7 linked regions of the Tribolium castaneum genome follow. The protein of the gene in region 1 purifies or fractionates together with the protein of each later gene. This does not show direct contact. Links are inferred from orthologs where the notes say so. Each region holds a gene or a part of one and is shown in the gene's direction. Other genes may lie near its edges.

The links.
Region 2: the proteins of Sf3b1 (region 1) and transformer-2 protein homolog beta purify together in Homo sapiens (co-immunoprecipitation; 3 studies listed by BioGRID and IntAct, with this or other methods). This does not show direct contact. The link is inferred for Tribolium castaneum from reciprocal best matches to the Homo sapiens genes SF3B1 and TRA2B.
Region 3: the proteins of Sf3b1 (region 1) and SF2 fractionate together in Homo sapiens (co-fractionation; 3 studies listed by BioGRID and IntAct, with this or other methods). This does not show direct contact. The link is inferred for Tribolium castaneum from reciprocal best matches to the Homo sapiens genes SF3B1 and SRSF1.
Region 4: the proteins of Sf3b1 (region 1) and superkiller complex protein 8 purify together in Homo sapiens (co-immunoprecipitation; 3 studies listed by BioGRID and IntAct, with this or other methods). This does not show direct contact. The link is inferred for Tribolium castaneum from reciprocal best matches to the Homo sapiens genes SF3B1 and SKIC8.
Region 5: the proteins of Sf3b1 (region 1) and Srrm1 purify together in Homo sapiens (co-immunoprecipitation; 3 studies listed by BioGRID and IntAct, with this or other methods). This does not show direct contact. The link is inferred for Tribolium castaneum from reciprocal best matches to the Homo sapiens genes SF3B1 and SRRM1.
Region 6: the proteins of Sf3b1 (region 1) and Hpr1 purify together in Homo sapiens (co-immunoprecipitation; 4 studies listed by BioGRID and IntAct, with this or other methods). This does not show direct contact. The link is inferred for Tribolium castaneum from reciprocal best matches to the Homo sapiens genes SF3B1 and THOC1.
Region 7: the proteins of Sf3b1 (region 1) and Prp31 fractionate together in Homo sapiens (co-fractionation; 3 studies listed by BioGRID and IntAct, with this or other methods). This does not show direct contact. The link is inferred for Tribolium castaneum from reciprocal best matches to the Homo sapiens genes SF3B1 and PRPF31.

What each region holds. Positions count from the first base shown.
Region 1 is NC_087395.1:16,040,037-16,044,179, forward strand, and holds the start of Sf3b1 (splicing factor 3B subunit 1), read left to right. Parts: upstream 1-1,343; 5' UTR 1,344-1,460; coding exon 1,461-1,488; intron 1,489-1,542; coding exon 1,543-1,811; intron 1,812-1,860; coding exon 1,861-1,987; intron 1,988-1,992; exon of another isoform or gene 1,993-2,425; intron 2,426-2,629; coding exon 2,630-2,709; intron 2,710-2,822; coding exon 2,823-3,011; intron 3,012-3,059; coding exon 3,060-4,143. Other genes in the region: corepressor interacting with RBPJ 1, read left to right, coding at 1-141, 1,007-1,193. UniProt on the Homo sapiens protein: Component of the 17S U2 SnRNP complex of the spliceosome, a large ribonucleoprotein complex that removes introns from transcribed pre-mRNAs.
Region 2 is NC_087395.1:15,203,854-15,206,726, forward strand, and holds the end of transformer-2 protein homolog beta, read left to right. Parts: intron 1-539; coding exon 540-635; intron 636-921; coding exon of another isoform or gene 922-1,032; coding exon 1,033-1,186; intron 1,187-1,419; coding exon 1,420-1,595; intron 1,596-1,917; coding exon 1,918-1,956; intron 1,957-2,010; coding exon 2,011-2,114; intron 2,115-2,283; coding exon 2,284-2,294; 3' UTR 2,295-2,373; downstream 2,374-2,873. UniProt on the Homo sapiens protein: Sequence-specific RNA-binding protein which participates in the control of pre-mRNA splicing. Can either activate or suppress exon inclusion. Acts additively with RBMX to promote exon 7 inclusion of the survival motor neuron SMN2.
Region 3 is NC_087401.1:8,588,123-8,592,166, reverse strand, and holds the start of SF2 (serine/arginine-rich splicing factor 1A), read left to right. Parts: upstream 1-1,244; 5' UTR 1,245-1,333; coding exon 1,334-1,500; intron 1,501-1,546; coding exon 1,547-1,728; intron 1,729-4,044. UniProt on the Homo sapiens protein: Plays a role in preventing exon skipping, ensuring the accuracy of splicing and regulating alternative splicing.
Region 4 is NC_087397.1:7,428,825-7,432,353, reverse strand, and holds superkiller complex protein 8, read left to right. Parts: upstream 1-1,496; 5' UTR 1,497-1,630; coding exon 1,631-1,633; intron 1,634-1,679; coding exon 1,680-1,795; intron 1,796-1,846; coding exon 1,847-2,013; intron 2,014-2,054; coding exon 2,055-2,290; intron 2,291-2,336; coding exon 2,337-2,524; intron 2,525-2,613; coding exon 2,614-2,785; intron 2,786-2,839; coding exon 2,840-2,929; 3' UTR 2,930-3,029; downstream 3,030-3,529. Other genes in the region: zinc finger protein 830, read right to left, coding at 367-511, 562-1,133, 1,209-1,322. UniProt on the Homo sapiens protein: Component of the PAF1 complex (PAF1C) which has multiple functions during transcription by RNA polymerase II and is implicated in regulation of development and maintenance of embryonic stem cell pluripotency.
Region 5 is NC_087398.1:3,116,110-3,119,877, forward strand, and holds the end of Srrm1 (serine/arginine repetitive matrix protein 1), read left to right. Parts: coding exon 1-265; intron 266-1,485; coding exon 1,486-1,704; intron 1,705-1,762; coding exon 1,763-3,140; 3' UTR 3,141-3,268; downstream 3,269-3,768. Other genes in the region: collagen alpha-1(I) chain, read right to left, coding at 3,459-3,605, 3,657-3,768. UniProt on the Homo sapiens protein: Part of pre- and post-splicing multiprotein mRNP complexes. As a component of the minor spliceosome, involved in the splicing of U12-type introns in pre-mRNAs. Involved in numerous pre-mRNA processing events.
Region 6 is NC_087399.1:4,612,862-4,617,003, reverse strand, and holds Hpr1 (THO complex subunit 1), read left to right. Parts: upstream 1-1,342; 5' UTR 1,343-1,444; coding exon 1,445-1,483; intron 1,484-1,530; coding exon 1,531-2,202; intron 2,203-2,248; coding exon 2,249-2,472; intron 2,473-2,520; coding exon 2,521-3,535; coding exon of another isoform or gene 3,536-3,657; 3' UTR 3,658-3,683; downstream 3,684-4,142. Other genes in the region: rRNA N6-adenosine-methyltransferase ZCCHC4, read right to left, coding at 3,532-3,657, 3,703-3,937, 3,983-4,142. UniProt on the Homo sapiens protein: Component of the THO subcomplex of the TREX complex which is thought to couple mRNA transcription, processing and nuclear export, and which specifically associates with spliced mRNA and not with unspliced pre-mRNA.
Region 7 is NC_087395.1:18,107,641-18,111,593, forward strand, and holds the start of Prp31 (U4/U6 small nuclear ribonucleoprotein Prp31), read left to right. Parts: upstream 1-1,153; 5' UTR 1,154-1,248; coding exon 1,249-1,585; intron 1,586-1,638; coding exon 1,639-2,462; intron 2,463-3,953. UniProt on the Homo sapiens protein: Involved in pre-mRNA splicing as component of the spliceosome. Required for the assembly of the U4/U5/U6 tri-snRNP complex, one of the building blocks of the spliceosome.

The sequences.
Region 1 (4,143 bases):
AGGGAAGAGGAAGTTCAGGAGGAGGAATCAGAGTACGAGCTCTGAGGAGGAATCGGAAGATGATAAGAAGAAACACAAGAAGAAGGAAAAGTCGTCAGAGTTTAAACTAATGTCCAAAGAGGAGAAAAAGGCATTGATTAAGTAAGTTTCGACTTTAAAACTGAGGACAATGTACTCTACTTTTTAGTCGAATATCAATTTTTTGTACGAAAATTTTCATTTGCAGTAGTTCATTTAAAAAATCACAACTCTTGAAACTTTTACAATAAATAAATAATTATATTAGTATTCGATAACCAAAGGTTCAAAGGGTCTTTTCAAATTTTCAGGATTGTCAAATGTCAAATTGCAAGACTACTATGATTTTTTGAAATTGATCAAAAAGTAATTATAACAGTTTTTTCAAATTTTTGAATGGTAATCAAAAGGATATCGATTTTTATGGAGACTTTTATCAATATCTCCTATATCTATCTCTTATACTTTTTAAAATAATCTCAAAAAAAAAAGACCAAAAGCTCATTGTTTTCAATTTTAATCGAGTAAACTTTCGAAAAATACGATAAAGTTGTGCTATTAAATAAAAGTACTGCTTATTTGATAATAAATCAACTAAAAACTAAATAAAAGTTGGACAGTTGTTGACCATTTTGCAAGGTCTACTTGATTAACTATGAAAATTACGAAGTAAAATCCGTGTTTTTTTTTGTAATTATTTCTAAAAATGTAGGAAATGGGTATAGGACGTGTTCATAAAAGTCACCATAAATATTGATGTTCGATTGCTGTTAAGAAAAAAGGATCGTTCCATTTGAAAGACTGAGTTATAGCCATATTTTGCCAAAATCATACTAGCCTTGAATTTTGACAAATGACAATTTTACAAAAATTCAAAAATCCCTAAATCGATTAAAATAATATTTTTTATTTAAAAACGACAAAAAGGGGGCAATTACAAAAAATAGTACAAAGATCTTTTAATTTACTATTAATTAATTGATTACAGGAAACTGGAAATTGTGGAGAAAGCAATCAGTAAAAGGAACGAAAAGAATGGGCGAAGAAGTTCCGATGAGGACAGGTCAAGGAGGGACAAAAAGCACTCACGGCATAACAATGATGACTACAGACGGGACAGGAAGCGAAAATCTGATGATTCCTATTATGAAAATAGCAAAAGAAGACGCTCTTAAGTTTTTGTTGTACATTTCTTAGAATTGTTGTGATTATAGGGATTATCATGATACTTGTAATAATTTAGAAAACGTAATATATTTTTAAACGTATTCCACCGAATTTTATTTATAAATCCCGCCAACTTTAGCGACAGGCTGGCTATTGGTCCATTTTCGCGCAGGCGCTTAATGAGTCGCCATTTTGTAACGCAAGCTTGTCATTGATTTTCCTTGAAAGTGTTTTGAAACGAAATAAGCCAAAGCAACAAGCATTGGTGCTAGAAAATGGAACAGATACCAAGGACTCATGAAGGTACGCTGTTTTTTGCACCCAAAAGCCCGTTTCATGACTTTTTTGCGTCTCTAGACATCGAGGCCCAAATTCGTGAAATCCAGTCTAAAAAGAAGGAAATTCCGGTGGAAGAGGAGCGAAACGAGAAGGGTGTAGGTTTAGGCGAGAGTGGCTATTTTGATAGTGAGATCTACGATGGGGGCGGCGGTAAGGGTAAATACGAGGGTTATGTGACCTCGATCGCCGCCAACGATGAAGCCGATGAAGAGGACGACGATGTGGGTTATAGTCAGAAACGGACCGGACTGGGGGCCCCTGTGGCGCTCCTCAATGATGTCGCTCAGGTGAGATTTGTGTTATTTAAGTTTTGTGGTAGTTAACTGAGTTGTTTAGAGCGACAAGGATTTTGATCCGTTTGCTGACAAGAGGAGGCCCACGATTGCCGATCGAGAGGACGAGTACAGGCAAAAGAGGCGTCGGATGATTATTTCACCCGAACGTGTTGATCCGTTCGCTGACGGTGAGTAGTTGATTTCGTCCAAGTATTTATAGCTCGTTTTTCCACTTGTTTATGTTTTATATGAAATTTGAGATAATGCTGTTGCTGTCGCTTATCTCAAGTTTTGTATGTTATTGGGGTATATGAAAGATAGCGAATGGATGCATGAGTGAGCAAAAATACTCGAGAAAGTAGGCATTAAATAAAAATCAGTACAAAGAAACTAATTTGTTCTGTATTGGATTCCAACATTTAGGGGTGTCTTCCTAGAGAAGTAATCGCCGCGATTTTAATGGATCACTTCCGTAAAATGTAACGTTGGTAAACGAAAATCGAACAAGAGTGAAAGAGTGTATGCAATGTATAGAAAATTATTAATTACCCCAGCCTATTTCTAGGTTCGATTTGACCAGTTGTTTTGCGAGAAACTGCCTGATTTGTGATGGAGCACAATCACACGTACGTATCAAGATTTGTTCGCCAAATTCACTCCCTTTCAATCCCCAATATTCGAAAAATAATCAGTTTGAGTGAATTGTGGTGCAACCAAATCTTTCAATCATTCAATAAAGAACAGATACTAAATAGAAAAGTCTGACCATTTTTTGCCAACAAGTGCTTCCGTTTACTAATTGGCGTTTTTCAACGCTGTTATGTTTACAGGTGGCAAAACACCAGACATCAATGCCCGCGGTTACACCCAGATTATGAAAGAGCAGATGCTCAAAGGAGAAGAAAACGAGGTCAGTATCAAAAATTTATCACCTAGCCAATTTTTTTTCGTAATTATGTCCGGCAATGGAGTCCTTTGTTAACTCAAAGTTGATTTCTTTGACCACTTGTAATTTAATTTCAGTTGAGGAAAAAAATTCTGGAAAAATCCAAAGACGGTTCACTCAAATCAACAAACGGTGAGGTAAAGAGCGCACCTAAGAAACGGGGGCGCTGGGACCAAACCGTAGACGAAGTCGTCGTCCCCAGCAAAAAGAAAACTCTCTCCGTAACGACCAACAGTGCAGCTGCTACCCCCATCTGGGATGCTGACGTAACAATCCCAATTTTTTAAAACCAATTATTAATAAAAAAATTACAGAAAACTCCAGCCGACCACCGCTGGGACGAAACCCCCGGCCACAAAGGCAGTGAAACGCCGGGCGCCACCCCCGGCCAATCCACCCGTATCTGGGACGCGACCCCCGGGGCTGCAACTCCAGGTCGCGAAACGCCCGCTCATGACAAGAGTGCCAGTCGTCGAAACCGCTGGGATGAAACACCCAAAACCGAGCGTGAAACTCCGGGACATTCGAGCGGCTGGGCTGAAACCCCGCGCACCGACCGAACCGGAGCCGACTTGATTCACGAAACACCGACTCCGGGAGCGTCCAAACGCCGCTCCCGTTGGGATGAAACTCCCTCTGTTCAGACACCGTCGGCGCACATGACTCCGGGTGCTATGACGCCGCAAACGCCGCACGGAACGCCAAGCCATGCCACTCCGATGCTGACTCCGGGCGGGTCAACTCCGGTCGGAGTCAAGGCGATGGCCATGGCGACGCCCACTCCGGGACACTTGGCGTCCATGACTCCGGAACAACTCCAGGCCTATCGATGGGAGCGGGAGATTGACGAGAGGAATAGGCCGTATTCGGATGAGGAATTGGATGCGATGTTTCCGCCGGGGTACAAGATTTTGGCACCTCCGGCTGGGTATATACCCATCAGGACGCCAGCAAGGAAATTGACAGCCACGCCCACACCCATGGTTAATACTCCCCAGGGATTTTTCATCCAACAGGAAGATAAGACAGCCAAATATCTGGATAATCAACCAAAAGGGCAGAATTTGCCGTTCATGAAACCAGAAGATGCGCAATATTTTGATAAATTATTGGTCGATGTTGATGAAGAAGCTTTGAGTCCTGAGGAACAGAAAGAACGGAAAATAATGAAACTACTCCTAAAGATCAAAAACGGGACCCCTCCCATGCGAAAAGCCGCCTTGAGGCAAATCACAGACAAGGCTCGAGAATTCGGTGCAGGGCCCCTTTTTAACCAAATTTTGCCCCTTTTAATGAGTCCAACTCTGGAGGACCAAGAACGTCACTTGTTAGTCAAAGTCATAGACCGAATTTTGTACAAATTGGACGATTTAGTCCGTCCCTACGTCCACAAAATAT
Region 2 (2,873 bases), about 840 kb from region 1:
ACAGAGTCAGAGCTATTTTTGACTCATTTTAATTATGTATTAATTAAGCGAGAAATTATATCTTTTGTTTGATTTTTTCACACAATATCAGTGGCCTTTTAATGTAGTGTTAAATAAAGCTGATTTTTCAATTTGCTTTTGATAAAAAGAAGTAAATAATAAATATATAACACTATGTTAGGTAATTCACTTCGTAGAAAATCATATATTTTAAAAAAGATATCGGTAGGTTTTTTCATAACGTAATAAGGATGAATGAATCAAAGATAACAAACGCTAACCTACATTAATTTTATCTGTGTGTTCTATAAGTGTTCTGTTTAATTTTACTTGCTTGTTGATTTTATTTTGTTTATTAGGAAACTTACATAACCATGAGAGTATACCAGGGTGAAACATATATTTTTATGAAAATGTCTTTTAATTTTAACTACTATTGCAGATATTAAAGGTTTTACTATTTTCTGGTGAAAATTTTTATTTTGGACTGTTTAATTTCAGTACATTCGTAAAATAAAACTATGTATTGTATATTTTAGGAGTCCAAGCCGGAGTAGAAAAATATCGTATCGAGATGGCGACAGAGACCGAGAAAGGCGCCGCGACGACCGAGACCGAGAAGATCGCAGATACAGGTAAGCTTAAAAAAGTATCCCTCCCGTGTGTACGTGGCACATGTCGCACATAATCGGACTAAAGCGTTGTCTGGGTTGGAGACGATTTTTTGTTTGAATCACAGCGAGCTTTCCTCAACTTTTACTTTAAATAATAAATGTACGTATGTTTTATTTTTTTTCTAATTCTTTTTTTGGCTTCACGTGAAACGTACCTCGAGTCGACGAATTTTGCACCAAAGTTTTTGACTGTCGTACGTATTTGGTACAACCATGTCATAGATCATTTTTTGATTTGGCCTTTCAGGTCGCGCAGTCGATCACGCTCAGACAGACGTTACAAGTCCTCGAGATATTCACGTAGTCACTCGCGTTCCCCCGGCGACCGGCGGTCGCTCTCACATAGCCCTATGTCTAGCCGCAGGCGCCATTTGGGGACCAGGGACAATCCAAAACCTTCGCGGTGTCTTGGCGTTTTCGGATTGAGCGTCTACACGACAGAGGACGAACTATATCACATCTTTTCCAAATATGGGCCGCTTGAAAGGGTGCAAGTTGTCATTGATGCAAAGGTAAAACACATACTTGTAAATAGTCAACACCACCCTGTGATATTTGAGAGAGTCTGGCTTTCAGTGCCTATTTTCTTGATGCGCACAGGAAGATTATAGATAGTGTCCCGTGCTGACATTTTTGATACTCCTCAATGCTCAGCTCCGTTTACACTACGACATTTTCTCTTCTTCTTTAATACGTTTCTTGTTTGGTGAAGCCTTGAAACTCATTTATTATTTGTTTTTGTTAGACTGGACGCTCACGAGGCTTCTCGTTTGTGTATTTTGAAAATACGGACGATGCGAAAGTAGCCAAAGATCAATGTTCTGGTATGAAAATAAACGGTAAAAATATTCGAGTCGATTATTCTATCACAGAAAGGGCGCACACACCGACGCCTGGAATATACATGGGAAAACCCACCTAGTAAGTATTCTTTCCTCGTTTAAATAACTAAGACAGTATTTTAATATTGTATTCTATGGTGCTACTTCTTTCTACTATTGTATGTAGGACAAAAAGTGTGTTGCAGAATTTTTCTAATATCCAAGAATCATTTCCACATGTTATGCGTATCCGTATCATGTTTTACTGATTCTTGGTAGAAAAAGCCGAAAGAATTTCAAGTTCGAGTAAGTTTGAAGGGAATAGAATTAGTGTCGTGAAGTGAAGACACTCGTAAAGGCTCCTTCTCACATTTTCATTGCAAATCCATTTCAGATGTGTGATTTTTGTCTCTTTTTTGCAGTAAATATAATGATCGTTACGATCGACGCCGGGATAGAGAGTAAGTTTAGCGATTTTTGCAAGTGATGTGGTTTTGAATTCGTTCTCTTTTAAGTGATTATTATGGCCGTGGTTCGCGCTACAGCCATAGACGTTCTCCATCGCCGTATTACAGGCGACGTCGTTACGACCGTTCGAGATCTCGCAGTTACTCGCCTCGTAAGTACCCTTTTAAAGTTTTGCCACGCCGGTGCAATTTTAAATTTAGCGATAAAGTGTTTGATTCTAAGACGGTTTAAAATTGCATTAAAATAACATTTTCGTTGATTTATTTTGGTATGTGGTGTTGCTTTGTTTTAATTCGTGTTTATTTTAATGTTAATTTCAGGTCGTTATTAAACTTCGTGGGGGCACTGCATTTATTGGAGAGATAAACCGTAGTTGTAACATTTCGGTGGAGTTTATGCCAGTATTGTAGATGTATATTTTTTACATTTGGTTTTTAATGTATGATGTTCCTGGTGTAATCTCCATGCGTTATTTTATTGGTTTATTTTTCATATTCGCGCGTTTGAGAGAATGTCGGCGGGTTTTAAGCGCCATCGTGGATTTTGTATAACTGATTCGAAACTTGATGCCAATCGAATGGTTGAAAGTTTTGATATGTAGTGTAGTTTTTGTTTGTTCTTTCTTGGTTTTCTTGAGTTCAATCTGTGACACTTAGATAAGCTCTAATAAATGATTGATATCAACACTAATATCGTTTTCTTTGTTTAAAAAGGGATAAGAACAAGAGGTTTGGGATGAATTATGAAGTTTATATAAGAAATAGAATTTTCTCAAGTTACCTTAAATCACTTCTCTGAAGCTTATTTCAATGAATCAGCTAAACACACGAAATGAATTGTGAAAATACATCCATCAAGAGAATTGAGAAATTTTTAACAACTCTCTTGAAGAATGAAAAATTGTTTTCTT
Region 3 (4,044 bases), on another chromosome or scaffold:
TTTAATTCTAAATTAGATCTTAATTTCACTTTCTGTAAACCGGCTTTAAAACTGTTTTAATTGTTTTTAATTTAAGGAGCTTTAGTTGTTGGTACAACGATAATCAACAAAATTGCTAGGTTTGCTATTTTTTGAAATGTGTCAAATTTTAACAGTCCTTTAATAAAATTACAGAATAGGTCTTAGTGTGTGCAGTTTGGTAAAAACAGTTTATTTATGCGTTTGTTATGTAATTACTACTTAGTGTTGGTACAGTTTTTTGTTTTAATAAGTACTTCCACTAAAAATTTACGATATGATTCGGTAAATGATCTCTTTACCTATTCTTAGGGTTAAATTAAACGTTAGAACTATCATAACTTCACAAAAAAATGTAAAACTTTTAGCTCTTCATCTAGTTTTGAACGCCTCCACAAAACACAAATTGAACTTGCTCAAAACGATTTCGGGTTAAATTCAAATTCAAATTTTGATCAAACTAAAGTATTGCTGTTTCAGAACAATAAAAACGCCAACGTCGCATTTTCTCTCAAAATTAGCTGTTAGAGTTTATTCCAAAAATGAGTGAATTTTGGCATTAAACATACATAGGTAAACATTTACTATTGAAAAAAAAATGACCATAGGCGTCGTTATACAATGTCTGTCAAATCCACTGTTAGTATTTAAAAAATTGTGGTAATTAAGTACTGTGAAAAATAATAAACAAATTATTAATAATAATTAATAGTGATATTTCTACCTTTCTCCGTTCTCAAAATTTATTAATGTTAAAATGAGAACTAAGTAAACTTTACAGAAAAAAAATGCACGCCCATGTATTTTTATGTCACTGTCAGTTCGCCACCAGATATGGAACAACCTCTATAAATTATTCATGCACTTCAAAAAAATAATAACTAGTGTAATTTATACTTTCAATGAGAGATCTAATCATTAATAACTATTTTACAATTTTATCAATAGTATTTAAAAAAATAATTCGATAAAATGCGACGTTGGCGTTTTTATAGTTTTGAAACAGCTAATAGAGGCAAATGAAATTAATGTACAATTAAATTTTATTTTAACAGAGAAATTATTCCGGTGACCCTCAAACCCCGTACCAATACTTCGGAGTTGAATAAAATTCTTAAAAATAAAAATTCCCTGAGTGTGTTGGCAGTTATCTCATTTCTACACTCTTCTGTAAACACACTGTATTGTACTGCAACCCTCCATTCGAATTTGGCGCCACACCCCGTCCAGATGGCTCTGCCATCACAAACGCCCTCACGTCGCCATCTTTCCTTCTTGTTTATCGCCGATTTCGTCCACTTTCCAACACGAAACGATGTCCAACAGCCGCAACGACTGCCGAATCTACGTCGGGAATCTGCCCCCGGACATCCGCACCAAAGACATCCAAGACCTGTTTTACAAATTCGGCAAAGTTACATTCGTCGACTTGAAAAACCGACGGGGACCTCCTTTCGCCTTCGTCGAGTTCGAGGACCCCAGGTAAGCCCCCATGTGGCCTCGAAACCCTCTCAGTGTGCTGATTTAGGGACGCGGACGACGCCGTACATGCACGGGACGGTTACGACTACGACGGCTACCGCCTCCGGGTGGAATTCCCGAGGGGCGGCGGCCATGGCAGCTTCAGGGGTGGCCGCGGCGGCGGCGACAGGGGACGCAGCTCCAGGGGGCCACCAGCTCGCAGGTCGCAATTTAGAGTGCTTGTGACAGGTGGGTTTGTTAATTTGATTTGTGTTTTCGTTTTTTATCGCGAAAATCATTCGAAATATAATAGGAAATAAAGGTCGGAAAAGCGATTAAAAGGAAAGTCATTTAGTTTTTATTTACAGAATTTTTCGAAATTACACACAAGGGTATTTTAGCATGTGTGGCTGCCACCTACGATTTGATTTTTTAAATTGTGAGGTTGTGTTTTCATTGCATCGTTTCTTGAATCGTCAATAATTTATTATTATTATTACATTTTTGTTTTTTTTTTGTAAACTATAAGATTAGAGCGAAAATAAAAAAAGCATGAAAATACATTTAAAATTGTCTTATCTTTTCGTAAAAACATATGGGCTGTTCGTTTTTATTGTTACAACTTTTAAACAGGTGATAGCACACTCAATTTTAGGAGAAAAGTTTCCTACAAACATGTATCGAAGAATATTTCATAAGGGGTGTTCCTTTTAGTGTAATTTAATTTCCCCAATATTTCAGAAACCATGGCATATAAAAACACAAAATTTGGTACAGATAATAATCTCTGTACGTCTAATTGAATTCGAACACCAAATGTACATATTTGTAATCAGGGACGTCCCAAATTGGGGGGTGGAGGATAAAAAATACCCCAACTATTTTGGCTTTCGTTTTTTGACAATTTTAGAAACGAAGGCACATTTCTTATGGGAATTTAAGGACCACTCAGATTGAGTAATTTTTATAATATCAATCGATGCGTCTTAAAAAGCTGAACAAATCATATCATTGCGTCAAACGTGTAACTTAATTAGGAATGCCGGAAATTGCAATCGAATTGAAGATTTGTCCCATAATAAAAGCATTGGGGCGGCTTTTCGGTGAGAGCTTGTAATCCAGATTGGGGGTCAGGTATAGGGAACAGACACTTTTATGGAAATAGGGATTTAAGCTGACAAGTTATATCTCCAACAATGAAGTGTTATACTCGAAAATAAAAGTTTTTGGAAATTGTAGATTCTGAAAGTAGACACAAAATGATGTCTAGTAATATCGGTCTGAGTTTTTTTAAATCGGTACTTTTTTAGTAATAATAGAAAATTCGCGCTGTGACGTAAGCAATGTCTCGACTAATGATTCGTCAGTCTTTTGCTGCATACAATTAACGCTACGACCTACGTTTGGGTTGGTAAACGTTAAATATAAATGTCAAAACCGTGCGTTGTTGATTGTGACTGTTGTGTGCTAATATTTTGCAGGAGTTTGTGTTTTGGTAAAATGACTGCTCCTGCAGCACATCTGAAGTCGTATGTAAAACAACAGAGGCAGAAATTAAGAAAAAACGGACCACTAGAACCAAATTGAAATCTACGTCTTTTTGGCTTAGGCCGCATTTGTAAGAAAATGTCGACGTTTTGTCCGTTCTTCCTCGGGACAGGTTCTGGTCGCGAAACCTTCTGTTCATCCCTGATTTTCATGTTATTTATGGTCTGTAACATACTGTTTATTAAGAAACGGTTAGTTGTATAGAAATAACACAAGAGACCATTTTTATGGAAAAAACTATGGAATTTACTATTTTGTTATTAAATTGTCAGAAAACTAAAACCAAAATAGTTAGGCCTGATTGCTCAGTTCAAGCTGAAGCTTTCGCTTACATGAGGTCGGTTTATATTTAAACTAAGTTTAAACCGTAGTTGTGTTGTTGAGTGGAAAGTTTAGCTAAACCGCGCTGAACTTGTCACTTACGGGGTTGGTAGTTCTGAACGCTTGCGCACTTCAAGTATGAGGTTGCTTGACGAAATTTTAACAGTTCTGATTTTGAAAAGTTAAGTTAATATTTTGGTACATTGTAGGAATAATATTGTTATAATGATATTTATGCTTCCTTCTGAAAAAGAGCAATTTATCGTTTTCTGTCTTTTCTTTCAAAACACAGCAATAAACTGATTTGCACAGTTTATTTGTTGCTTTTGTGCATTTGAAGACTTGGGCGTCCTCACTTTTTAAAACTATGCTGTAATTAAAATCACATAATATTTACTTAGTATCAATAATTCTAACAACATTATTCCCCTGACTGTCGGATTTTGCTGCAGCAATTAAAAAAGTTACTGAAATAAGAATAAGTAAATTATTATCATTATACTTTTTTTTTAGTTTTTTTTTAAATATAATAATAATATATTAACTTACATGTTGTCTATTCATTACTGTCATTGTTCAAGTTTATTTGTTTAATTCAAACTGAACCGAAATTTATTTAAAAAAACTGTTTCTGTGCATCATTTTTGAATCCGGAAATTTAATAGTTCTTCATCATTATTGTTAAAAGCAATTTTT
Region 4 (3,529 bases), on another chromosome or scaffold:
CTCTCCAAAACTTTTTGCATGGATTTTAATTCGTTATAACTTTCTTTCTCACATTTTTCTTGTATCTTTGACACATTCACACACATCATTTGGAAAAATATGAAACGGAGCACATTTTTTTCTGTTTGTCGTGAAAATTTTGGTCGGCAGTTTTTTCTCGGATTCTAGCCTTTTTTTCAAGTAATTAGTGAACTAGTTAAAAAATTAATATCAAGCGTTCTGAGCTTTATTCCATTGTACTGGTTAAAAAAATCTGCTTAACAAAAAAATCACAAATAAATTACGAAAATTTGGCTCGAAGGTGAATAAAAACAGCACATAAAATACTAAAGAAAAATTTATTGATATAAATAAAATGAATACAAATTATTTGAACGCTTTTTTACACCGCCAGTCCAAATACTCATCAAAATCTTCATTATCGTCTTCATTGGAATCATCCTCTTGATCTACTTTGTCCCCACTAGTGTGTGTTATAATCGTTTCTTTCTTCTTTTCTAAATCTAAAACCCTACAAACGCCGTTCAAACACCACAATTTCTGCAACTCAAACGACCATACCTCGATAATTTCTTCATTTGTTCTTCGATTTCATCAATTTGTCGCTCATTGGTCGCCTCCTCTTGATCTTCAGCAATAATCGCGGCACTTTTACTGTCAGCTTCGCGAATTTCCTTCTGAAATTTCTCCCATTCTTCTTCAACTGGATCTTTGTATTCCTGATTCCTGGCTTTGGCGTCTAACTTCGGGTCATCGAAAAAACCTTCAGGTATCGTTTCAGTATTGTCATCAACTTCCATTTTCTCTTCCCGAGGTTTTTTCACCGGTAAGATTGGGGCACCGTTTTGTGACTTAGCGTCAAAGAAATCATCGGGAATTTCCTTCTCTTCACTTTTACTTGAATTAGAGTTTTTCAAAATTCCCTTGATTTTCTTCTGGGGCACTTCCATAGGCGGCGTCAAGGGCCGTTTCAAGGGAGTTGTGAAGTTGTTCGTTTTTTCTTTGAGTTTTTTGGCGAGTTCTACATTTTCGCGGTGTTGTTTCGAATTTATGTGGACTGTCCATACGGCTTCCGATTTGACAACGGACTTACACAGCACACATGTAAGCTGGCCTGAATCGTTATACTTAAACTAATATTAAAGAAAATACAAAAAGAACGATAAATAAAAATAAAACAAGGGGTAGGTCGTGAAAGGATATTTTGCAAGAGGCGACTCTATCTTTTTGACGTCTTTTTGCAACTTGCTTTTCTCGCTTATTAAACGGCGGAATTCCGTCTGCACAAGCTTCTTTTTTGAATTTTTAAACGTTGCAGACATTTTTTTACCTAAAAACGTAACCTAAAAAACAAAACTGTCAACTTGTCTGTGACAGTGGACCAAAGATGGTGCCAACTGGTTCCAATATCTTCCACTGTGGTCTGCGTATTATTTAGCAGTGATTTATATCAGGAATTGATTTTTTGAAACAAAGACGACTCCCTGAGGCCCTTGGGAGGCGAAAACTTGCATAAAAACTCTCACTGATTTGGGAAATTCAAAATATATATTCAATAATTTGGGGAATTTGGTGTTTCGGGTTGGCAAAGCGGCAAAAACCACGCTATAACCTCACATTTACTCGCGCAATGGTATTTTTTCATAACCAATTTTCTAAATTAAAACCATATTTTCCAGTATTCTGTTTTACACAAGAAGGAGAATGCGCACGAGGAAAGCATTTGGAGTTGTGCGTGGGGCCGGTACACCACTGAAAAAAAGAAAAAAGACCAGAATGAAGAGGAAAAGTCCCGGTTTGTTTTTCCGTAAAAAAACTCTAAAAAACATAACAAGGTGCTTTTTAGAGATTCGGTGATGTCGGACGAGCCTCCCGTTGATTACATCATAACGGGAGCTCTAGACGATCTGGTAAAAGTGTGGGAATTGCAAGACGATAGACTTGTTTTGAAACATAACTTAGAAGGGCATTCGTTGGGGGTTGTCTCCGTTGCCGTTAGCAACAACGGGAAATGTGTGGGGCGCATTTGAGCATCTGGGTAATTGTTTGATTAGTGTGTGCTTCCAGTTCGTTAGACTCAAGTATGAGGATTTGGGACTTGGAAAGGGGGAAAAAAATCGCGCATGTTGATGTGGGTCCGGTTGAACTGTGGACTGTAGCGTTCAGTCCTGACGACAAGTACATTATTTCCGGCTCACACGCTGGAAAAATCACGGTTTATAACGTGGAAACGGCCAAAGCTGAACAAACTTTAGATACGAGAGGCAAATACATTTTGAGCATAGCTTATGTAATTATTTATTTTTTACGTTTATTTTTTTAATTAAAATTTGTAGAGTCCTGACGGTAAATACATAGCTAGTGGGGCTATTGACGGCATTGTTAATATTTTTGACGTGGCGGGAAATAAACTATGGCAAACCCTTGAAGGCCATGCTATGCCAATCAGATCTCTTTGTTTTTCTCCAGATTCTCAACTACTTTTGACTGCGTCAGATGACGGCCATATGAAACTTTACGACGTGTAAGTAGGCTATGATTTTGAATTAAGTGGTGCCAACTTAATTTCAAAGTCGCAGTCACGGAAGATAAAATAATTTTGGTGTTTTTTAGGCAACATACTAATGTTGTTGGTACCTTGTCAGGGCACGCTTCTTGGGTCGTAAGCGTTGCATTTTCTCCAGATGGTAAATATTTCGTGTCAGGAAGTTCCGATAAAACTGTTAAAGTTTGGGAATTGGCCTCTAAACAATGTGTTCATACGTTCAAGGAACATAATGATCAAGTAATTTTTTTGATTGTATTTTTTTTATTTGTTATTTTCAATCGTTTGTTGCAGGTTTGGGGTGTTAGGTTTAGTCCAGATAGTACCAAAATTGTTTCAGTGTCTGAAGATAAGAGTATAAATGTTTACAGCTGTCCAGTTTAGTTTACACTTCGTAATTTATTAATTAATTGATTTAGTGAAGTGTATTGCTTAAACACCTAGTTGTATAATTTTTTTTATAATAAAGCTATTTTTACATCCATTGTTGGTATTATTGCTACCACATTACTTCTAAAATTTCCTACTTCCTACTTCCATATTAATTTAATAATTTTGTGGTGTTTCTTAGGAAACACGTCAGCTTTTTGCATAGTTTGCATGACTGATATTATTATTATCTATCTACTAGTCAAATTGACAATAATTAAAATATCGTAAATCAAACCATATTAATACAGGGTGAGAATAGTGCGTTACTTGTGACATGTTTTAAGATGCAATCAAAAATACTAATTAGTCTTACCACTTGACTACTTCGTTTAATTTTTAAAAACATTAATTAAATCAACACCGATTTTTATCTTATAAATAATAATAATCTATAATGAAATTTTAGCAAAATTTTTAAAACAAACTTGACACTACCTATAACATTGTAATCATAGATTAAATTTTATTCTTTAACGATTACCGAGAGCTAGAAACAGTATTATTGGTTGCATATCTAAGGAAACTTAAAAATAACCCTCTATTGACTCAACC
Region 5 (3,768 bases), on another chromosome or scaffold:
GTTCGGACGGATCCAAGGACAACTTCGAGATCAGGAAGAAGGAGAACAGCGTCCAGAAGAAACGCCACTACAGATCCAACAAGGACAGCTCCGACAGCGAACCGGACCAGGACAAGGGCAAGAGGAAGAAGTCACTGTCGAAGTCACCGCGACGCGCCAGGAAAAACAGCAGGGATAAGAGTCCCAGACGCAAGAGGAGCTTGTCCAGGAAGAGGAGCAGCTCCAGGAAGAGGTCCCTAAGCCGAAAGAGGAGTCTTTCGAGAAGGTGGGATTTTTATTTCTATTATGTGTTTTACCGTTAAAAACAAGGATACAGAGTTAATTGTCAGTTTATGACATGGTATGTAGTCATTTCTTTAACAGTGTTGTGTCAGTGGTTCAATACTTCTAAATTTGCAATACGTAAACAGTTATCTTCTATTTGAAACTAGCATTCGATTTTTTGTTTTTATTAAGGGGAACTCGACCGTTCAACTGCATGAAAGAGAGATCTTTTAAATATTTTATTTTAAATATATTTTTTTAAGATATTGTTAATTTAAAATCGTGTTTTGTAATTTTTCGTGTTTTTGAATTTCTGTAGATTTATGTCAGAGACGAGAAAAAAATATTAGTTTTTCAATTCGGTTTATAATAAATAAATAATCATGGAAAATATGCGATATATTCTCACTGACACAAATTTATGAGGCTCTTGTAACTACTCAGTAATGCTAATGAATTTCTATTATAAAAACAGTAATTTTTTGTGCAAAATGATCGATAAATCTTGTCCCTAGTGGTGAATTGCCGCTCCAAATTATTTATCGGCCGTATCATTACTTAATTTTGCTTTATGTCACCAATAATTCCACAATTTACCGTTATTGTTTGGTCGAGATCCACTTAAATCTTATATCCGGCGTATCTCAGCTAAGATATTTGTTTTTTTTTTCTGTCTAATTTGTGAATTAATGTGTATTTTTTTTTGAGTAATTTTTTTAGATGAGATAACAAGCGTCTAAAAATGAATGAGATCGTAGTATGTTTTGGCTAGGCCTCATTTAGATATACGCTGGCCTGGCCAACACACCCTACGATGTCATTCATTTTTAGGCGCTTGTTACTTTACTTATGGGAACAGAATCTGCTATTTTGTATTAAATCAATTGATTTTTCGTTGTAAGGCCGCTAACATCAAAAAAACAAAACTTGATACATAGAAAAATCGATTGATTTAGACTGTATTTGAATTAATAACTAGAAGATATATCAAGTTGTTCTTCCTTGTTGGAGGACAGAATTTATCTCAGTTGGCCATGGCCGCTTTTCGACATTTGAGAACATAGCCTACTTTACGCCATTGCCAACTGAACCACAAACAAAAGTAGATACAAAAACTGTTTCGGATTGTAAGATACAGTTCTTGTCGTAGATTTTAATGCAAATTGTTAGTTGTAAGTTTTTAATTTTTACTTCAAATTACAGATAGATTTTTGCTTCCAGACGTAGTCCATCGCGAAGCAAGAGGAGTCTGAGTAGACGAAGGCGGAGCATCTCACGTTCAAGGCGGAGCACCCCGCGGAGAGCAAGCCCTCGCAGGAGACGCAGCTATAGCAGGAGGAGGAGCTTGAGCAGGAACAGAAGGGGACGACGCAGCAGAAGCCGCAGGAGTCCCAGCAGGAGGAGGCGCAGTCCTAGCAGAAGGAGGAGCAGCAGGGATAGGTTAGTATTATTAATTTATTTTATTGTCTGGTATTAATATTCCTATGTTTTGAATTAGGAGGCTTAGACGCAGTAGAAGCCGTGACCGGAACCACAGGCGACTTTCCCGGGAGAGAAGGCGCTCCAGGTCTAGGGATAGGCGGTCGAGGTCGAGGAGGAGGTCGTCTCGTGATAGGGGAAGTTTGAGGAGGAAGTCACCAATTAGAGGTAAATCTAGGGAACGTCTACGCAAGCCTAGTCCGAGTCCTGTGACTAGAAATGATCGTCGGGACCAAAGGGACGAGTCACGTGGGTCTCGACCGTCTGTTAGGAGACCGGACGACAGGAAAGAGGAATCTTTCCGTCGACTTGACGATTCCAAAAGAGAAGATCTTCACAAATCGGATAAGAAATTGGAAGAGAAACGCAAGGCTAGTACTTCTGATAGTCAAACTGAAAGCGACTTCAAATCCAAGGATAGGAAGAAGTCAAAGTCTAGGAGTATCAGTCCAGAGGATAATAATTTGATTCCTCCTCACGGCCCGCCACGATATTCGCGAAGCTTGTCTAGAACGCCGTCGCCGTTCATAAAAGCAAACGAATTCCCGCCTAAAACTAAGACAGTTCCTGCTGCGAAGGACGATAAGAAGAAACTCAAAGAAAAGGCTGAATTGAAAACTAAGAAGGTTACGAAGAAACCTTCAAAGAGTGAGACTGATTCAAACTCAAGTGATTCAGATAGTGAGGGACAGAAAGAAAGAGAGAGGGAGAGGAAGAAGATAAAGGCGAAGAAGAAGACGAAGAAACGCGATTCGAGTTCCAGTGATAGTGAAGTGGAGTATACTTCTAAGAAGAAGGATAGAGACAGTAGTCCCGAAGTGGAAGTCAAGAGTAAGAAAGGCAAAGACGGTAAGAGAAGTAGGCGCGACAGCAGCGAGGATAAAGTGCAGAAAAAGCGTCACCAGAGTTCCGATTCGGAAGATGATAAAAAGATTAAGAAGAAACGTGCACGTTCTGATAGTTCCGACAAAGGCCGTAAATCGAAAAAAGATGATTCGAGTGACAGTGATGTCCCTAAGAGTAAGAGCAAAAAGAAAGTGGAGAGTTCTGATGATTCTGAAGTTGAGAAAGTCGATAAAGACAAGTCAAAGAAACACAGAAGGGACAGCTCTTCAGACAGTGAGGAAGATATGAAGAAGCGGAAACGTAAAAAGAAGGTTACGAAATCGGCGAGCGATTCTGATGAAGAACTTGAGTCGAAGAAACGCAAGAAAGACAAGAGGCATAAAAAGAAGAAGAAGCACTCGAAAAAACATAAGAAACATAAGAAGAAAAAGGTAGAAAGTGAAGACTCTGATAATAGTGACGTCGAAGTTGTTAATGACGATGAGAAAAAGTTGAGAGAAAAGGCTCTCAAGTCAATGAAAAGGCAAAATTCGAGCGATAAGTCGGAGTAACGTGTAAAATAAATAAACGTTTTTGTTTAGTTTGAATGATTAGGTAATTAGCTTTTCTGAGTGACCTGTAATTTTTTTGTCATTCATTCCGTATGTTGCTGTCTTAATAAAGTTGATATGTATGTGGACTTCTTTGTTTTATTTAACTCCTTTAATTGTGGGTGAAGATGCGGTTATAAATCGAGAATTTTATTCTAAAATATTAATATACATTTTGTATAGCACCTTATTCAGATCAATAGAAAATATAAAATTTTACAACATTTATAATACTCTTGTATTTACAATGGCAGTGATGTAAGTGTTGTGTTTAAACTGTTAAGAAAAGCAAACGTGGCCAACTTCCACTGAAAACCCTTGGTTCGATCTTCCGGTATCTCTGATTGCAACATCTATAATTGGTAGTCTCGTTGTTTTATCTGTTTGGTAAGAGAGGACTGATCTTGCCCATGTGTCTGTATGAAGCTGAAAATTTTACGTTTTTCGTTGTTTTGTTAAATTAAAAAAATTACTTACTCTACATTCATCGACCAGTGCTTCATATCTCAAACGAGCGTTACCTCTGGGAGTTAACTCCACGTCGTTCCAAGCCATTAATTTTATCCCTTTTTTGTACGTATGTCTAGCA
Region 6 (4,142 bases), on another chromosome or scaffold:
ATGTGTCACTCAAAATATCACTTTTCAACACCGCATTTAAAGATTTTAATTGCAATTAAGTTTTATGAAATTATTGGTTTGAGAAATAAATAAATACGACACAGCAATAAAATACACCTACCTTCATATCGCTTCCACGTTGGCTACCGTTTGTAGCATTAAAAAAAAATAATAATAATATTGAAACCAAAAAAATGTTTATTTGCATTAAATTTTGAGCAAGCCACTTTCATTCATTGAAATTAAAGACAAAATTATTACGTGGCAATTAATTATTTGAGTGTTTGATTATAATTTTATTTACTGTATTTAAAATGTGTCACTCAAACGCGATCACTAGCCACCGAATTGAAAATTTAAACCGGAAAATTTAGATTTGCTTGAACACACGTCCGTTCGCGACAACGGCAAGTAACAAACTGAATAAATTGAACGAAACCGCACAATACACAATAATTTAAATAAACCGACTCACCTCGCTTCGCCTCGCCTCCCGCTCCCGCTCCCGATCTGACCCGTACCACTGCTCGCTGTCGACTGAACCGCCCTCGCCGCCTGCGCCGCACACCTAACCTCGGATGTGACGTCATCACACGTCTAAAACAGGTCATAACCAGAAACATTCACTGTCCAAATCCGTCAAATTTAGAAACATTCATACACAGAATTATTCAAAATAGAACAGTATTGATCTAGAAAAATTAATTATGACAAATGTATTTGTCTATAAACGTCTAAAATTATAAAAGTTTCGCATGCAGTTAATGGAAAAATAAAAATGCATGTTTATATTTAAACAGAAACTGGCAATGTGAAATTTTAGTGCGAAAATTAGTGGTAGAGCTCGGAAACTCTGTAAACGACCACGATAGGCGGAGCCAATGCGTACTTCATCGAGTGAGGAGATTGAGCAGTGGCGTAGCAAAAAACCATTCTATGATCAAGAAGGGTTTGAGATTCATAATTTGTAGTAGTTAAAATTTCCTCTATTCAATAATTGCAAGATGAAATAGTAAAAATCATATCTAATGCTAATACACGTTGATTTCCTAGAAATACAAAGCAGAGAGGTCGAATAAATAAAAATACACAATGAGTAAAGAGTAAAAACGCGTTTATTGCAAAAAATGTTTCTACTGGTATCTTTACTATAACTGGTAATATTGAAATGTTAAACTTTAAGACGAATTCCCTACACATGTAAGTACACGCCACGCCACTGTTTTCTGCCAACACCCCTAATTTAAAGATTGGACTCGTCCGAGACGAGTTTTCGTATCTGCGCACTCCTACCACCGTGGACGATCTGTCATTTCGCGGACTCTAACATTATTTTTGACCTTTGACAGTTGTTTACAAGACGATTCCGGTCGCTTATTCAAGTATTTCACACGAAATTGAGCGTTTTTCACGTTGGGGGCCCTCCAAGCGTTGCATTTAAGCAATGGGGGGCAAATTCGAGTCGTTACGGGTCGAATACCAGGTGGGCCCCGACATAACCTCAAACGCCACTTCTAACCCGGTTTTTAGGACGTTTTACGCAAATCTTTCAAGACCAAAACCACCGATTTGATCGAAACTAAAGCCAAACACTTGTCGAAGTCCGCCATCGACCTTAAGGCCCCTCTGGACCAGGCGTTCCGCGACGTCTTACTCGAACTCCTTGAAAAGGAAGTCAACGTCTCAGTCTTACGCGAGTTGGTCGATTTTAGCGTCCTAACATGTCGCAAGGAACTGAGCAACCCCACAATGCCAGTGATGCTCCTTTCGGACATTTTTGACGCCTTAACGCTGGACGCCTGTCAGGAAATGTTCCTCTACGTAGAGAACAATGTCGAAGTGTGGAAAGAGAACTTGTTTTTCAGTTGTTGCAAAAATAATTTACTCAGGTTGTGTAACGACTTATTGAGGCGGTTATCTCGGTCCACGGCGACCGTTTTTTGCGGCCGAATTCTCCTCTTTTTGGCCAAGTTTTTCCCGTTTTCTGAACGTTCAGGTTTGAATATTGTGAGCGAATTTAATTTGGAAAACACGACAGAGTATGGCACGGACTCGAGCCAGGAAAAGGGGGGCGACGTTGACGGCGACGAAAAGAAAAACGTGATCGATTTCACGTTTTATTGCAAGTTTTGGTCGCTCCAGGATTTTTTCCGGAACCCCAACCAGTTGTACACTAAAGTGCAATGGAAACTGTTTTGCACCGTAATTATTTTTGCGCATTTTAACCGATTTTTATTATTTTTTTTAGTACGCCACGAGTGTCTTTAACACGTTCCAAGGCCTCAAGCTTGAACACGTGGAAAATAACGGGAGCTATTGTGACGAAAGTAAAAATAAAATGTACTTTTCCAAGTACCTGACGAGCCAAAAATTGCTCGACTTGCAACTGTACGACGTCAATTTTCGGCGCGCCGTCCTGTTGCAGTTTTTAATTTTATTCCAGTACCTTTCATCATCCGTAAAATTTAAATCGTGAGTCGGTTTCTTTAAACTAGACGCACCTTTAATTTATTTTTTTAGCGAAAGTTTCGAGTTAAAGTCGGACCAAAAAGAGTGGATCCAATCAAGCACCGAAAAAGTCTACAGTTTGTTACGCGAGACTCCTCCAGACGGTAAACGATTTGCCGAAATCGCCTCAAATATTCTAAGTCGGGAGGAGTATTGGAACGCTTGGAAGAACGACGGTTGTCCCGAACTGAAAAAATCGGTGGTTCCCACGGAAAGCCCCGACAAGCGCCGAACCGAAGAGCGCCCTCTCTTAGGCGACATCATTAAACAGGCCTCCAGTGAGGGCAAATACTACATGGGAAGCACCGAACTGACCAAACTGTGGAACCTATGCCCCGATAACTTGGAGGCTTGTAAAGGCCGAGAGCGCGATTTTCTCCCCACACTTGAGGATTATTTCGCCGATGCCATCGCCCAAATCGAGTCACCTGGCGCAGTCAAAGACGAAGACAATTTACTGAAAGATGGGAATTACGGGTGGCGGGCTTTGAGACTCTTGGCTAAGCGCAGCCCCCACTTTTTCACCTACAGTACTGTGATTATGAACCCCCTGTCTTCGTATTTGGAGATGATGGTCAAGAAAATAGCGCATGATAAGCCAGGTCGCGTGACCGAAAATTCGCAAGAGTCGCAACAAAACGACGCCGAGGAAGAAAATTTGTTTAAGGACACGCAAGTTGATGAAAACACCGAAGACATCAAACCGTCCGAAACGGAGGAATTTATGGACGATAAGAACGCGCGAGTCGAGCATAAATTAAACCCGAACCAGTTGCAACTCTTCAGCGAGAAAGTGGCCCCCAATTGGAAAAAACTAGCCAGCAAGTTGGGCTTCAAAACTGACGAAATCCAGTTCTTCAGTATGGAAAATGAGAAAGAGGTGGACCAGGCCCGTAATATGCTACAACTGTGGTTCGATGACGACGAAGATGCCACTTTGGACAACTTCTTGTACATTTTGGAAGGGTTGGAGATGGAGGAGGCGGCGGAAATTGTCCGAAATGAAATCAATTCGATGGATTCCTAACTGTATTTAACTCGTTTCGCCCTATTTTTACTTTTCAATTTGCGTTTCATATGTAATTGTTTGTGATCAACCTTGGGACAGTCCCGTTTTTTGTGCCCCGGTTGTTTACAGTGGAAACAATCCTTTAATAAAATTATTAAACCTTGAATTGGGAGTTTGAGACTGACCTGAGTAAAGACCAAGTCGCCGCATTTGTGGTCCGGTTGGCAGCACCGACCACATTTTTCGCAGTGCTGCCAACTCGGTTTAACGCACCTTGCACACATGGGACAGTGGGTGTACGTCCGGCCGTCTTTCGAGGTGCATTTCTGGCAAATGGGGCAGTGTTTGTTTTCGTTTGAAACCCATTTGTTGCACTCTTGGCAAAATTTGTAGCCTTCATTCGCCGGAAGGACTATTTTACTACAATTTTTTGTCCCGAAAAGTTCGTAAAAATCGTCGGCTTACCTCGGGTCCACGTTCGTGAAAATTCGGACGGGTGACCCAAATTTCCGCGCCTTAGCGCCGTCTTGAAACAAAGGATGGTTGTCATAGTCGACTTTATAATCGAGCATGGAATAGTCGGGGAGGCTGTTTAGTATTTGCGGTTCCATAAAGTAGGGGAATA
Region 7 (3,953 bases), about 2.1 Mb from region 1:
GTAACTTTATATTCAAACAAATTAATACTGTGTGATTTTCTAAAATATTGGTCTAGTTATCCGTGACAGTTACGTTAACCCGATCTCCATTACGGAAATAAGATTCCAACATATTTTTTTTGGTTCTTCGGTGAACATTTTAGACATATTGACAAATAAAGCGATGCTAAAGTTATTTATGCAAAATGTTTCATTGATGACGTATCTGTCATGGATAACTAGATCAGAATTTTAAAAAGTCGGTTGGTAGTTTATTATAATAAGATAACAGATAAATTGCTTCGATTTGAAGCATTGAACTATCGTAGATGCCAAATAATTTTTAATTTTAAAAATGATCGCTTCCCTGTTGAATAGAAAACGGGTAATGAATAGGAATTAAATTATTTATTAAAAGATTTTCTAATATATTTTGTGGGTTTTTGCAATTATTTTCTAAAAAATGAATCTTAAAGCGTTAATTCCGTTAAATAAATCGGAAACCATTTTTAAGCTTTACGTGTAAGTCTTTACAATTTTTTGCTGTCTAAATCTTCTTAAAAAATTGAAGTTATTCACAAATACAAATGCATCGTTTTTAAAAAGAAGACACAACTTGATCCAAAATTTAATAAGAAAGTAAATTTTTTAAATATTTCTGTCATCTACCACAACTTCGTTAAGATGAATATAAGGTGTTCGTTTGTAGTCAAAAAGTTTTATTTCTTTTCTTCGGCATACAGTTTTATTCAATCCGGTTTTATTAAAATTAGTTGGTGCTTTGGCGTCCTCTGACTCCTTTTTATTTTTATTTGTATGCTTTTTTCCATTTATTTTTGTTTATTTTTAAAAACAACTATCTTAATATTCTAATTTAAAATGGTATTTAAAAGAGCTTTTGGCGAAGCAAGTTTGCTCTTATGTTCTTATAGTTATAGTTTTTACCAAAAAGTTGACTAAAATAAAAAAAAAGTTTTTTTTATTTAAATAACATGGCTTGAAACTACAATAACAACTGTTTTTTTAGTGATATATGTGTCCGGAAAAGTACTCTTTCACGGACTATATTCCGTCCCTTCACTAATTAATAATTATATTGTTTTTTTTCATTATCCCCAAATTAATAAGCAGATTATTATAGACAACCAGTAATTCAGCCCCACATTACAAGTAATCTATGGACACTTGTCAATTTGTAAACTGCATTTTTCTAACCTCACTTCCAAGTGTTGTGTGAACGTTTTGGAGTTACGTTTTTAACTCGCTAAAATGTCTTTGGCCGACGAATTATTGGCTGATTTGGAAGAAAACGATCAAGATGATTTGGAAGAAGCGATGGAAGTTGATGAAAAACCGGACATCAAAGAAGAAAAACCCGACGTTAAAGACATCCAGTTAGAGGTAGACACAACTCAAATAACTTCAGTCCGAGAGTTGTGTAAATTACGGGACTCGCCCCATTTACATGAAATATTGAAACAAATCGAAGACCATGTGAAGAAGAGCCGAAAATACCACGACATCATAGGACCAGTTGAGTTGGACCCTGAGTATCAACTGATCGTCGAAGCTAACAACATTGCTGCAGATATAGACGCGGAAATTGGTAAGAGTTACGATTTTAACCAAATCAGTTGAAACTAATCTGTTTTATTGAAGCCACTGTCCATAAATTTGTGCGCGACAAGTACCAGAAGCGGTTCCCCGAGTTGGACTCCCTTGTTGTTGGTCCTTTGGAGTACTTGAAGACCGTCAAAGAGCTCGGGAATGACTTAGACCAAGCCAAAAATAATGAAATTTTGCAACAATTCCTAACGCAGGCAACTATCATGGTTGTCTCAGTCACGGCATCCACGACACAGGGGATTCTCCTAACGGACGTCGAAAAGAAACAAATCGACGAAGCTTGCGACATGGCCATAGACTTGAACAACTTCAAACTGAAAATTTACGAATACGTTGAGAGTCGGATGGCTTTCATCGCCCCCAACTTGTCGGCGATTCTTGGGGCTTCGATCGCCGCCAAGCTCATGGGGGTTGCCGGGGGTTTGACCCGATTGTCCAAAATTCCGGCCTGTAACGTGCAATTGTTGGGCCAACAGAAGAAGGCATTGTCTGGATTTTCACAAGTGAATATGTTGCCGCACACTGGTTTCGTTTATTACGCAGATATCGTGCAAAATACTCCGCCTGATTTGAGAAGGAAGGCTGCCAGACTTGTTGCCACTAAATGCACGCTAGCAGCACGTGTGGACTCGTGTCATGAGAGTAAAGACGGACGTATTGGGCGGCAATTACGCGACGAAATTGAACGAAAACTGGACAAGTTGTTGGAACCACCCCCAGTTAAGTTTATCAAGCCGCTGCCGAAACCTATCGACCAGTCCAAGAAGAAAAGGGGCGGGAAAAGAGTCCGCAAAATGAAAGAGAGATATGCGATGACTGAGTTCAGGAAACATGCCAATAGAATGAACTTCGCTGATGTAAGTTTGGTTTTTCTTGTATTAAATTTTTCTAGTATTGAAAATATTTCTTACATTGAAAATTACACAATATTGTTAGCCAATCTACTGTTGAAGCAGCATTATAGTTTCATTAGATTTTGATAACATACTAGAGATCACAATCTTCTTTGCAAAAAGTTTTCTATGGGTTTGATGAAAATGCAGTTTTATTATTCTCTTGATACTTACAAGACCGGTATCAATAAGTTGTAACGAATAAGCGAAACACATAACTTCAGGTGTACCCCAGTGCTCAGTTTTGGGCCCAATCCTTTTTTTAATTGGGGTGTTCGATGTTTTAACGAAATAACTCCAGTTTTAGTCTTTTTGAGAAAAATATAGAAACGTATGCTATAAAATTTTCTCTTTCAAATGCAATAACTGGTTTTGTAATCGATTGATTTATTTTAATGTCATTAAACAGTAACAGTTGTTATAACACCGAAAATTTGTGGACATTTATTCAGTGCAATAATGAGATAAGTCCATCAATCGTTTTTTTACTAGTCTAGTGATTATTGTTAAATATAATGTATTAAAGCTTCCGTATTATAACTTATGTCAAAATAAGTTTAAAAAAAATAGAGACAAAAATGCAGTAGTAACATTGAATTGAGTTAAATTTTCACGGGTTTTTAAAAACCAAACGGCTTTCAATTTGAAAAAAAAGCGGTTTCGTCTGTAATTCTGTACTGCATTCCTCCTCTTCGCGTTTTATACTAATTTTTATTTATTTATTTTTCAAACAAAATCGATTACCATGATACTGAATGGAATCAAATAAACAATGATCTAAAAAGAATAGCCAAACATTGCAGTAATGTTAACTTAAAACTCAATGAAAATAAATATTCAGTCTTATACTTTGCATCTAAAAGTTGTAAATATTTTGAAGAATAATATATTAATATTTATATTATTAGTAATAAATTAAACGTTCTTGCAAAAAGAAAATCTCTAGGACTTACATTGACAGTGGAAAACACATTATTCATTATCAAAAAATGGTTCATCTCCTTGAAACTCTTACGTTCTAATTATCACATTCAGATTTCAAATTGAGAAATAAACTTATTGAAACTTTGGTAATTCTCCTTTATCTATTATTGCTTTATAATCTTATCCTTGTTTAAATGATGTTGATAGTTGAAAATAGATTATACAAAATTCAAAATATAATGTTATATATACAAAATTCAAAATATAATGTTATATTTTGAATTTTGTATCTTTGGCTTAAAAAAAATGTGATTACATTTCTAAGGTCGAGTTGTATCATCTTTAGTCCTGATTTAAATCCCTAACAATTATTCTCATAACAATGGCTATGGGTTTAATCCTGAAATTTTTTATACAACTCGACCTAAGTGTGTTTCTGACTTAATGTTGGAACTTCGGGATAAGATACTTGAGACTTCTAATAAAAGTATATTTAATATGAAAGTAAATCGAAATACAAAATGACGGAAT